Coturnix japonica: one gene and its partner. The protein of the gene in region 2 interacts with the protein of the main gene of each other region in a pairwise test. Links are inferred from orthologs where the notes say so. Each region holds a gene or a part of one and is shown on either strand. Other genes may lie near its edges.

Region 1 (4,163 bases), on a different chromosome or scaffold from region 2:
ATTTGCAGTAAGGCTACCAGGGCTCAGGCAATCCTCCAGGTGACAGTCATTCATTCCCAGAGTGACACTTGGTCACTTCATGCAGACACATTCAAGCCATAGGCAGTTCTTGAGCTTTTCATCCATGAGGGTCTGGGAGCTCCAAGCCAACTACTCAGTACAAAGTGGTATTTCTCTCCAAGGGCACTAAGGTGCTGCTGTTCGCAGCTGGACACCTGGTCACAAAATGCACTGAGAAGAAAACCAACAAGACATACTAAAGTAGGCACAAGTATTACAGCTCTCACAAGATGCTTTGTGACAACAGCACATAATGTGGTGCTCCAGTCCGCTGTGAAGCACATCTCCCTTCTCTTCAGGGAATTAAAACTAAGCAAACAAAGAAGGACATGAATTCCCATCGTTTTCTTACGTATCACCAAGGAACCAACGAGCTTCTCCACAGGGAGGACCCGGGGAAGGAACACAGCAAGAGTTAAGAGGGAGTTTATTCCCCACTTACTGCAGCTCGTCTCCAGGGTCTTCCTCCTCCTCCTCCTCCTCCGAGGACGAGCCGCTTTCCTCCAGCCCCCGAGCCATGCCCGCCGGCATTTCCTCCGGGCGCTCTCATGCAGCCGGCTCGGCGGCCTCACCGATCCCTACTGCGGGCCCGAGGGATCTGACAGCAGCTCTTACCTGCAACAGGAATTAACACCCTGAGCGCGCAGCCGGGCCGGCCACTGAGGGCAGCACAGCTCCAGCCGGGCCGCACTGCCCACCCCCGGCCTCACCCCGCGCTGCCCCAGCGGCACGCCCCGCTCGCTGCACGCCTTCCTTCCTTCCTTCCCTCCTTCCTTCCTTCCTTATTTCTTTCTTTCCTCCCTTCCCCCGCTCCAACGGCCCCCCATGTTGGGAGCGGCCCCCGGGCCGGCCACGCCTGTCGGTGCGGTCGTTCCCCGGCCTACCCGCGGCCTCAGAAGAGGCGCCCCGAGAGGCGCCGCTGTACCCTCGCGCGGCGATAGCGGCTCGGTGCGCCCCGTACCCGCTCCGTCATAGCCCCATGGCCGCGGCCCGTCCCGGTGGCCACTCCCGCCGCTTCCCCGTTACTACAACAACCGGCGGCGCCCGGCCCCGCCCTCACTGCGCGTGCGCCCCCGGGCCGGTCCGTCCCGCTGCAGCGCGCACGCGCGGCGCCTCCAGCTCCCCGGCGCGGGGGCGGGATCGGGCCGTGTCGGCGCGGCCTCCCATTGGCGGAGGCGGCCCCGGCGGCCGCGTGGCGCGCCTGTGGAGCGGCCCGGCCGCGGCCAATGGGAGCGCGGGAGGGCGGCGCGGGTTGGCAGCCCCGGTGCGGGATCGCGGTGCGGGATCGCGGTGCGGGGCCGTGGCGGCACGATGAGCCGGTTCCTGAACGTGCTGCGCAGCTGGCTCGTCATGGTGTCCGTCATCGCCGCCGGGAACACGCTGCAGAGCTTCCGCGACCACGGCTTCCTCTCGGAGAAGCTCTACACCGGCAGCCCGGCTCTCGGTAAGGGCTCGGCCCGCGGGAGCCCTTCCCCAGCGGCCCACGGGAGCGGTTCCTCACCGCGTTCTTTCCCTCCGTGCAGTGAACGGGCTGCAGGCCAGGACGTTCGGCATCTGGACGCTGCTGTCCTCCGTCATCCGCTGCCTGTGCGCCATCGACATCCGCAACCAAACGTACGGGGGCGGCAACGGGAGCGGGCGGGGGAGCGCTGGGTACAGGAGCGCTGGGTACAGGATCGCTGGGTGCCGCTCCGTGCTGTGGCCCTGGTAACGGCAGCGGCAATGACGTCGTTGTTTCTTGGGTCTCTCTGTGTTGCCCTCGAACCCGGTCCCTTCCCGCAGGTGCAGCTCATAGGGGATAAAGGAGCGACGGTGGGATGTGCCGGGTGATGCGCCCTTAGTCAGTCCGGTCTTGTCGACCCGTTCCTCGGCGCAGCCAGTTCTCACCCTGTTTCATGTGCCCCCCTGTTTCCTATAGCAGCAGCGCCCTGCCCTCGCTCTGCCCCTTCACTTCCAGGCAGATAACACCAGTGACCCTGCCCCACTGAACACGGCCATAGCCCAGTGACCTTTAGTACCCGTGCTCCACAGCAGTGTGTGGCTTTGCTGCCTGCCATGCTGGTGCTGCGAGTGTGCTAACCTGCTTCTTTCTGCTCCTACAGCCTCTACTACATCACGCTCTTCACCTTCTTCTTGGCCCTTGTTCACTTCCTCTCTGAAGTCTTCATTTACCACACTGCAGCCTTGACGATTGGAGTTATGGCACCACTCATGGTAGCAAGTAAGCTGAGCTCTACGTCCTGCCTCCCACCCCCAACCTCTCATGGAGCTCTCAGCTCCCTCAGAACTATCTGTGGGGCAAGGAGGGGGTGTTCAGAACGTCCCATCTGAGCAGCCTTTTTTAATACAACTCATGCTTTATCTCCGTCACAGGTTTCTCTATCCTGGGGATGCTGATCGGGCTACAGTACCTGGAGGTAGAAGCACTGTCAGAAAATAAGAAGAAAAACTGAGGCTGAGCGCACTGTAAAGGTCAGCATCATCTCCTGTTCTCACTGCCAGACTTCCACTAAAGCTCTGAGCTTCTCCAGGATGCCAGCCCCAGTGGCAGATTGATGTTGGACTCTGTTGATCATCCTTCATTACTGAGTGTTTTATCTTGTCCAGACAGCATTTCAGCTGACTGGTATCAAAGACGAGCCCCCACAGGAGCCCGTCCAAGCTTGCTTGGTGACTACCTCCCTGCAGGAGGGCAGGGAGCACCTCAGGCATACCCATGAAAATGCCCAGGTCTGCCCTTGGTGCACCTGTAGGGAGGAGGTGCAGAGCTGCCCAGGATACACTGAACACTTTGGATGGGAAAGAGAAGTGTGTGCTGCTGTGGTCCAACCGTGTAACATGCATGTGTGTGTTCTGCAGGGGCCATTTCTAATAAATGACAGAAAACTGACAGATGCAATGTCTTAGTGCTATACAACAGCGGGTAAATGCTCTTCACCTTTGGAACAAGTGGCTTTTACTGTATGTTGTAGGACCTTATCCTGCTTCACAGCACTGAGTCCCTTCCACCAGAGCTCCAGGTCTGACTGAACACATCACACACACTCCAGGAGAGCTGTTGCAGCTCTCACTGCCGTAGCATTCTAGTGGCAACAAACTGCGTGCATCAGGAGCAAGGATGGAGCTTCCTTTGCAATGAGCTATAACTGTAACAATGAGCAAATGGGAACAGGTTGCTCAGTGCTAGATGAAAGAACATCCAGGGCTGTGAGGAAGAAGGGGGAAAAATAAAAGGAAGAAAACAATGTAACAGTAGCAGTGGGCAGAGAAACTGTTTTTCTGTCCTGCATTTCAGGCTATTAAAAAAGCCACACCAAGACCTATAGTATAAAAATATCATCTTTCATTGTACACCTGCAAAGTTTTTATTTCATATAAAAATTATATTTAAAAGCCATTTTAGACCACATCCTCAATCCCAAACTATCAAAAAAAAAAAAAAAAAAAGGAATTTAACATAATTTTATCCAGTCTGCATTTTTCCAGTAGGGTTTGTGTATAACTGTATGATATTGGTATAAGGACACTTGATGTCTCCACCAAGGGATGGATGCTGGAAAGGAAGGAAAAGGGTTCTGAGGGTCTATATTTGTGACTGGGAGATAAGCACCAGCATATGAGACAGAACTGTGTGTAAGAAGGCTTCTATGACAAAGTGAAAGCCTCCATGCTAGAGAAAATCATCTGAAAACACCTCACCATTGCATTGCAGGGCAACATTGCCCTGACGGGTCATCTGATATTCCACAAAGGCTTTTGTGCAGTGTTAAAAGTTGCAAAAGGCACTTCATCATTAAGGAGGAATATAGGATCCTCAGCCATGAGAGCTTGTGCTTTGAGTCACTCCTGCTGCTAACCCAGTACTGAGCTGGGCTCAGGCTGTAGCCACAGCACAAACCCTTGCCTCTAGTAGGAGGTCTATTGGTCTCTCTCAATTATTCCTAGTATATAGGAATGTTAGAGCAATCCAAGTGAATTCAAGGTGCATATTTAGCTGCAGCCACATATTAAAAAGCTGGCACTGGCCACAGCAGTTGCACTGCTTTGCGCTATTAGGTTGGTGTTGTGCTGAAGGCCCCTACTATCACCTGTGCAACATGGAG
Region 2 (4,281 bases):
TTGTGAGCACAATATTGGTTTGGGATGTCATCCTACCCATTTATGCATTCCTATGGAGAGGAAGAGGCTCCCAGCTTGGACACCTCTGAGCACATCCACAGCTCCAGCACTGAGCTGGCAGTGCCTGGGAGTGTCCCTAAAAGAGCTGATGGAAAATTCATGCCTGGATCCAACCGGAACCAGGAAGGGTCTCCACGATGGCGAGAACAGCTTCATTCTCCATTGGTTTTACCTCTTATACTAAGTCATGGTCAACAAACCACACACCCTTTTCCTGTTGCAACTCACCCTGCTTAGATAAGCTAATTAAGCACCCAGCAGCCCCACCTCTTTCTGCAAATCTCCACATCTCTCCTCTAAACAGGAGCTGGTGATAAGATGCTGGACCTGGTTGGTTTTTTGTTATTGTAAGAATACTGATATCCTGGGGGGCTCATCCCACTGACCCAACACCAAGACAACAATTCTTACCCAATGATCACTGAAGTCTCCAACAATTACAGCTGGGGCAAAGGATCTGGCTGGGTTCATGGAGCAACCAGTGTAACGGATCTGCAGAGAAACACCACACTTAGTGTTAACATTAAGCTCTTTTACCACAATTGAATATACCCCAGTGTGTTATTAGCATGATTCATCCTCCCAGCATACCCCATTCCAGGAAACAAAATGCTACCAGCTTCCAGCTCCTGAGTCAACACACCTGAGTCCTGTTCATGCATCTCTGCTGCAAGCAGATGTGTCTGCATGGTGCAACTCGGATGCAAGTTGGGTGATGTATACTGCAATGGGAGCACGTTTCTGCCGTGCCTGTTCCTGGAGCACATTGCTACTCCTTGCCACAGAGGATTGAAGGAAAGTAATCCCATAGCAAGCCACACAAGCTTGCATATCATTAAGGATGGAAGAAGTGATGCAAACATTGCTGTTCTAATCCTGAGAGGTTGGGAGTGTTGGGGAATAATGTGGTTTTTTTTGCCTGCAAAAGTTAGCAATGAGGGATCTCCCTGGCTGTCCATCCCATGTAACTCCCAGTTTATCATGGTCTTGAGAATCTCCGTTGCTAACATGCTTGCTCCAGGGTAGAAGACCCCTTGGATCCCTGGTAGCTCTCAATGGGACTTGATGAACAGCAGATCCAACAGGTTATGGATTTTTTGGCAACCAATAGCAGCTCAGCTCAGGCTGTGATTGTGCTGTGGCTTTGGTGGGATCTTCCTGCTGCACCCACTTCAAAACCACAAGTATTGCACCATTACAACCCCCCCCCCCCATGAATTACAGACCTTTTGGCAGAAACACAAAGACATTCCAACCAAGCACTGCTATTTAAGCCATTCCACTCACCCCAAGGAGATGTCCAACGGCAACAGAAAGGCCAATGGACAGAGCAGGAGACCCCACGTTGTCCTCCCGGCGTTCATCAGTGGAAGCAAAGATGCAGAGGACGAGCTGGAAGGTGAGGAAGAGCTCGACAGTCACCGCCTGCCCTGTCGTCGTCTCATTGTGCAGCTGAAAGGGGAAAAGGCATCTCAGGGATGGGCAAATTCAGTGCTGGGAATGCAGATTTAGATGGGAAACCCAGAAATGAAGAGGAAATGGGTGAGATTTTTGGAATTTTCCCAGGAAAAATGGAATGTCTCTTCTGTCAAAATCTCTCCTTTCAGGTGCTTTGTGTTTGAAAACAGCATTTGGAAAATCTCTTAGAACTCTTATTGCTTTGTTGGGTTCATTAAACCTCAGCTATTATCAATATAAATAGTCTTGTTCAGACTAATCCTCAGATCCTTTCCAACCCTTTTAATCTCTCTGGCAGTAAATCTGGGTCTGGCAGTACCAGCTGCTTCTGCAAAGGAAGGGATTTCCCCGTGCTGCCTCCTAAAACATGCTGCCTTCCTCCTCTCCACCAGTTCTGGGTGATGCTGCTGCTGCTGTGGGCATCTCTGCAGCAGTACAGCTGCTCCTACCCATGGAGAAGGGAGTTACAGTGAATGCTGTCTTTCTCCTTCAGTTTCTTTTTATTGCATGTGTGGTTTGAGAAGGGGATTTGATGAGGGTTTGTCTCCTATCTAGGTGTCTATCCATCCAGCTGGATCACCTCTGTTTTCAGTCCCTAAAAGCACAGGAGCCCCGTGTTCATCCCTGCTGCTGGAAGAACCCATGCTACATCTGACCATGCCAACCCAATGTTTAACAGATGTCCTTGCTGACCCCAAAGCCCTTCTACACATCCCTCAGCCTTCCTCCAGCTCCATCCCAAACCTCTCAGCTCCTTTTCACACCCACCACGAGCTGCAGCCTCACCTTGTTGATGGCCAAGCCTTCCCTCGAGTCGGCTGGGGTGATCTCGTGTAGGATGGCAGCCCCTGCCACAGCCCCCAGGAGCTGGGCCACCACATAGAAGACTGCACGCAGGAAGGAGACGTGGGAACCAATAAGGCAAGCTACTGTCACTGCTGGGTTGATGTGAGCTCCGCTGATGTGCCCCAGAGCTTGGACCAGCGTGCCGATAGCCAAGCCAAAAGCCAATGCAATCTGAAGGATGCTCGGGGCAGAAGCTGAAGGCCAGTTCAGAGCAGAGCCCAGGCCGAAGAGGATGAAGACCAGGGTGGCCAGAAATTCTGCCAGGACAGCCCGGGTGAAGGCGACAGAGCGGAGCTCCCACATCATGGAGGCTGCAAGGACTGGCCCTGCCTGCAAGGGCTTCAGGCAATGGATGTAGCACTGCTGGATCCAGAGAGGATGATGGGGGTACAAGCCCTATATATAAGGGTATGGGATGAAGGAGGATTGCCTGCTGAAGGAGGTGGGGTTGTGGTCCTGGGAAACCCAATGCTTTCCTTCATGTATGTTCCAGCTGAGGGAACTTCAGAGCCTGCCCCTGCTATTAAAGCTAGGGAATGCAGTGCTTGCCATCCTTCAGAGGGCATAAATCAGCCTTGAGCAATGCCAGGAAATGCTGCTTCCTCTTCCCAGTGCTTTCTTATGGGGGCTTTGGAAGTGCTCCTTGCTTCTGTCTCCCCATCACCTGCAGCATGGGGAGAAGAGAAAGTGAATAAGGAAGCCGTAGTGCTAAGGTGGAGCGATAAACCCCATGGGTCCTGCTGAAGAGAATGGATAACAAGTCAGTTCTTCTTCCCTTCCATTGCTTAGGACACACCGTCCACTGGCCACGTCTTTAAGGCCTTCTGCTCCCTATGCAATAAGGAGTGGTTGGTTTGCAGCAAAAATGGACTTTTTTCCCCCCTTTTTCTTCCTCTCATTAACAGACTCTTGAGCCATCCTGGGAGAAGTGCTCCCCCAGGGCAGAGCTGGAGATGAGAGGATCATTTCATCTCCTATTTGGCTCCAACAAAGGCTTCCGCTGCAGGAGCCAAACATTTCCCCTCCAGAGGAACTGTGTGAGTGCGACTGAATGGATGTGAAGAGCTGGCATAAAAGATTATTCCATATTGCTCAGATTGCATTGCTCCTTCCTCCGCAGAAGGTGGGTAACAATACTGGCCCTCTCTTTACATATAAAGATGCTGATGTGAACATTGCCCTTATCAAAGGAGAAACTGTAGGGAAAACAAGTCCAGGGTGAGGATGAGAGACATGGATTCGTCCCCTTCCTCTGAAAACTCCTGTTTGACTTCCTTGGCAATGCCAAGATGTGACTTTGGCCCCAGGCTCTGGTTTTCCAGCAGTGAAGCAGATCTCATGCAGCAGACTGTGAGGCTGCCTGTGTTTGGGGTGCTGATAAGGCACAGAAATGCGGCCACATCCTGGCTGCAGGCTCCTGCTGCTCTCTGCCTGCAATGGATTTGCAAGCTTAGCATTGCTCAGAAATGCATTACGTCAGGGCTTGATTACAGGTGCAGGCTGCCAGTGGCATAGGGAATGTCAGATAACTAATATGGCAATTACCTGGAGCTGATACCCTGTTTGATTAATAGTTATTCACGGCAAGCAAGGCGTGATGTGTCCCTGCTTAATGAAGACTAATTAAAAAAGCAAGAGAAGCAGGCAGGATTAGCTCTGAGCAACTTAAAACCCTGACACAGCCTCACGCTCTTTGCTTTCAGCTGGTGATGTGAAGGCTGGTTGCAGCTGTTGTCTACCCAGTGCTTTGGGATTTCTATCTGGTGCTTTGGGGTTGCACTGTGCCTCCTCCTGATGGCAGAGCATGGCCCAGGAACACGTTTTTGAAGCACACTTTGCAAGTGCAAATGCACTTGCACAACAGTGTACTTCTCAAGTGACTTAGATGGCTCAGATATCTCTGCTCCCCTGGCTTTC

What was found.
Region 1: the proteins of AQP2 (region 2) and ERG28 interact in binary tests that used the Homo sapiens proteins (3 or more experiments, as listed by UniProt). The link is inferred for Coturnix japonica from reciprocal best matches to the Homo sapiens genes AQP2 and ERG28.

What each region holds. Positions count from the first base shown.
Region 1 is NC_029520.1:34,764,054-34,768,216, reverse strand, and holds ERG28 (probable ergosterol biosynthetic protein 28), read left to right. Parts: upstream 1-1,293; 5' UTR 1,294-1,371; coding exon 1,372-1,504; intron 1,505-1,561; exon of another isoform or gene 1,562-1,583; coding exon 1,584-1,674; intron 1,675-2,162; coding exon 2,163-2,281; intron 2,282-2,433; coding exon 2,434-2,513; 3' UTR 2,514-2,532; intron 2,533-2,667; exon of another isoform or gene 2,668-2,950; intron 2,951-3,032; 3' UTR 3,033-3,507; downstream 3,508-4,163. Other genes in the region: tubulin polyglutamylase TTLL5, read right to left, coding at 503-591.
Region 2 is NC_029544.1:1,313,889-1,318,169, reverse strand, and holds the start of AQP2 (aquaporin-2), read right to left. Parts: upstream 2,843-4,281; 5' UTR 2,671-2,842; coding exon 2,305-2,670; intron 1,513-2,304; coding exon 1,348-1,512; intron 553-1,347; coding exon 472-552; intron 1-471. UniProt on the Homo sapiens protein: Forms a water-specific channel that provides the plasma membranes of renal collecting duct with high permeability to water, thereby permitting water to move in the direction of an osmotic gradient. Plays an essential role in renal water homeostasis.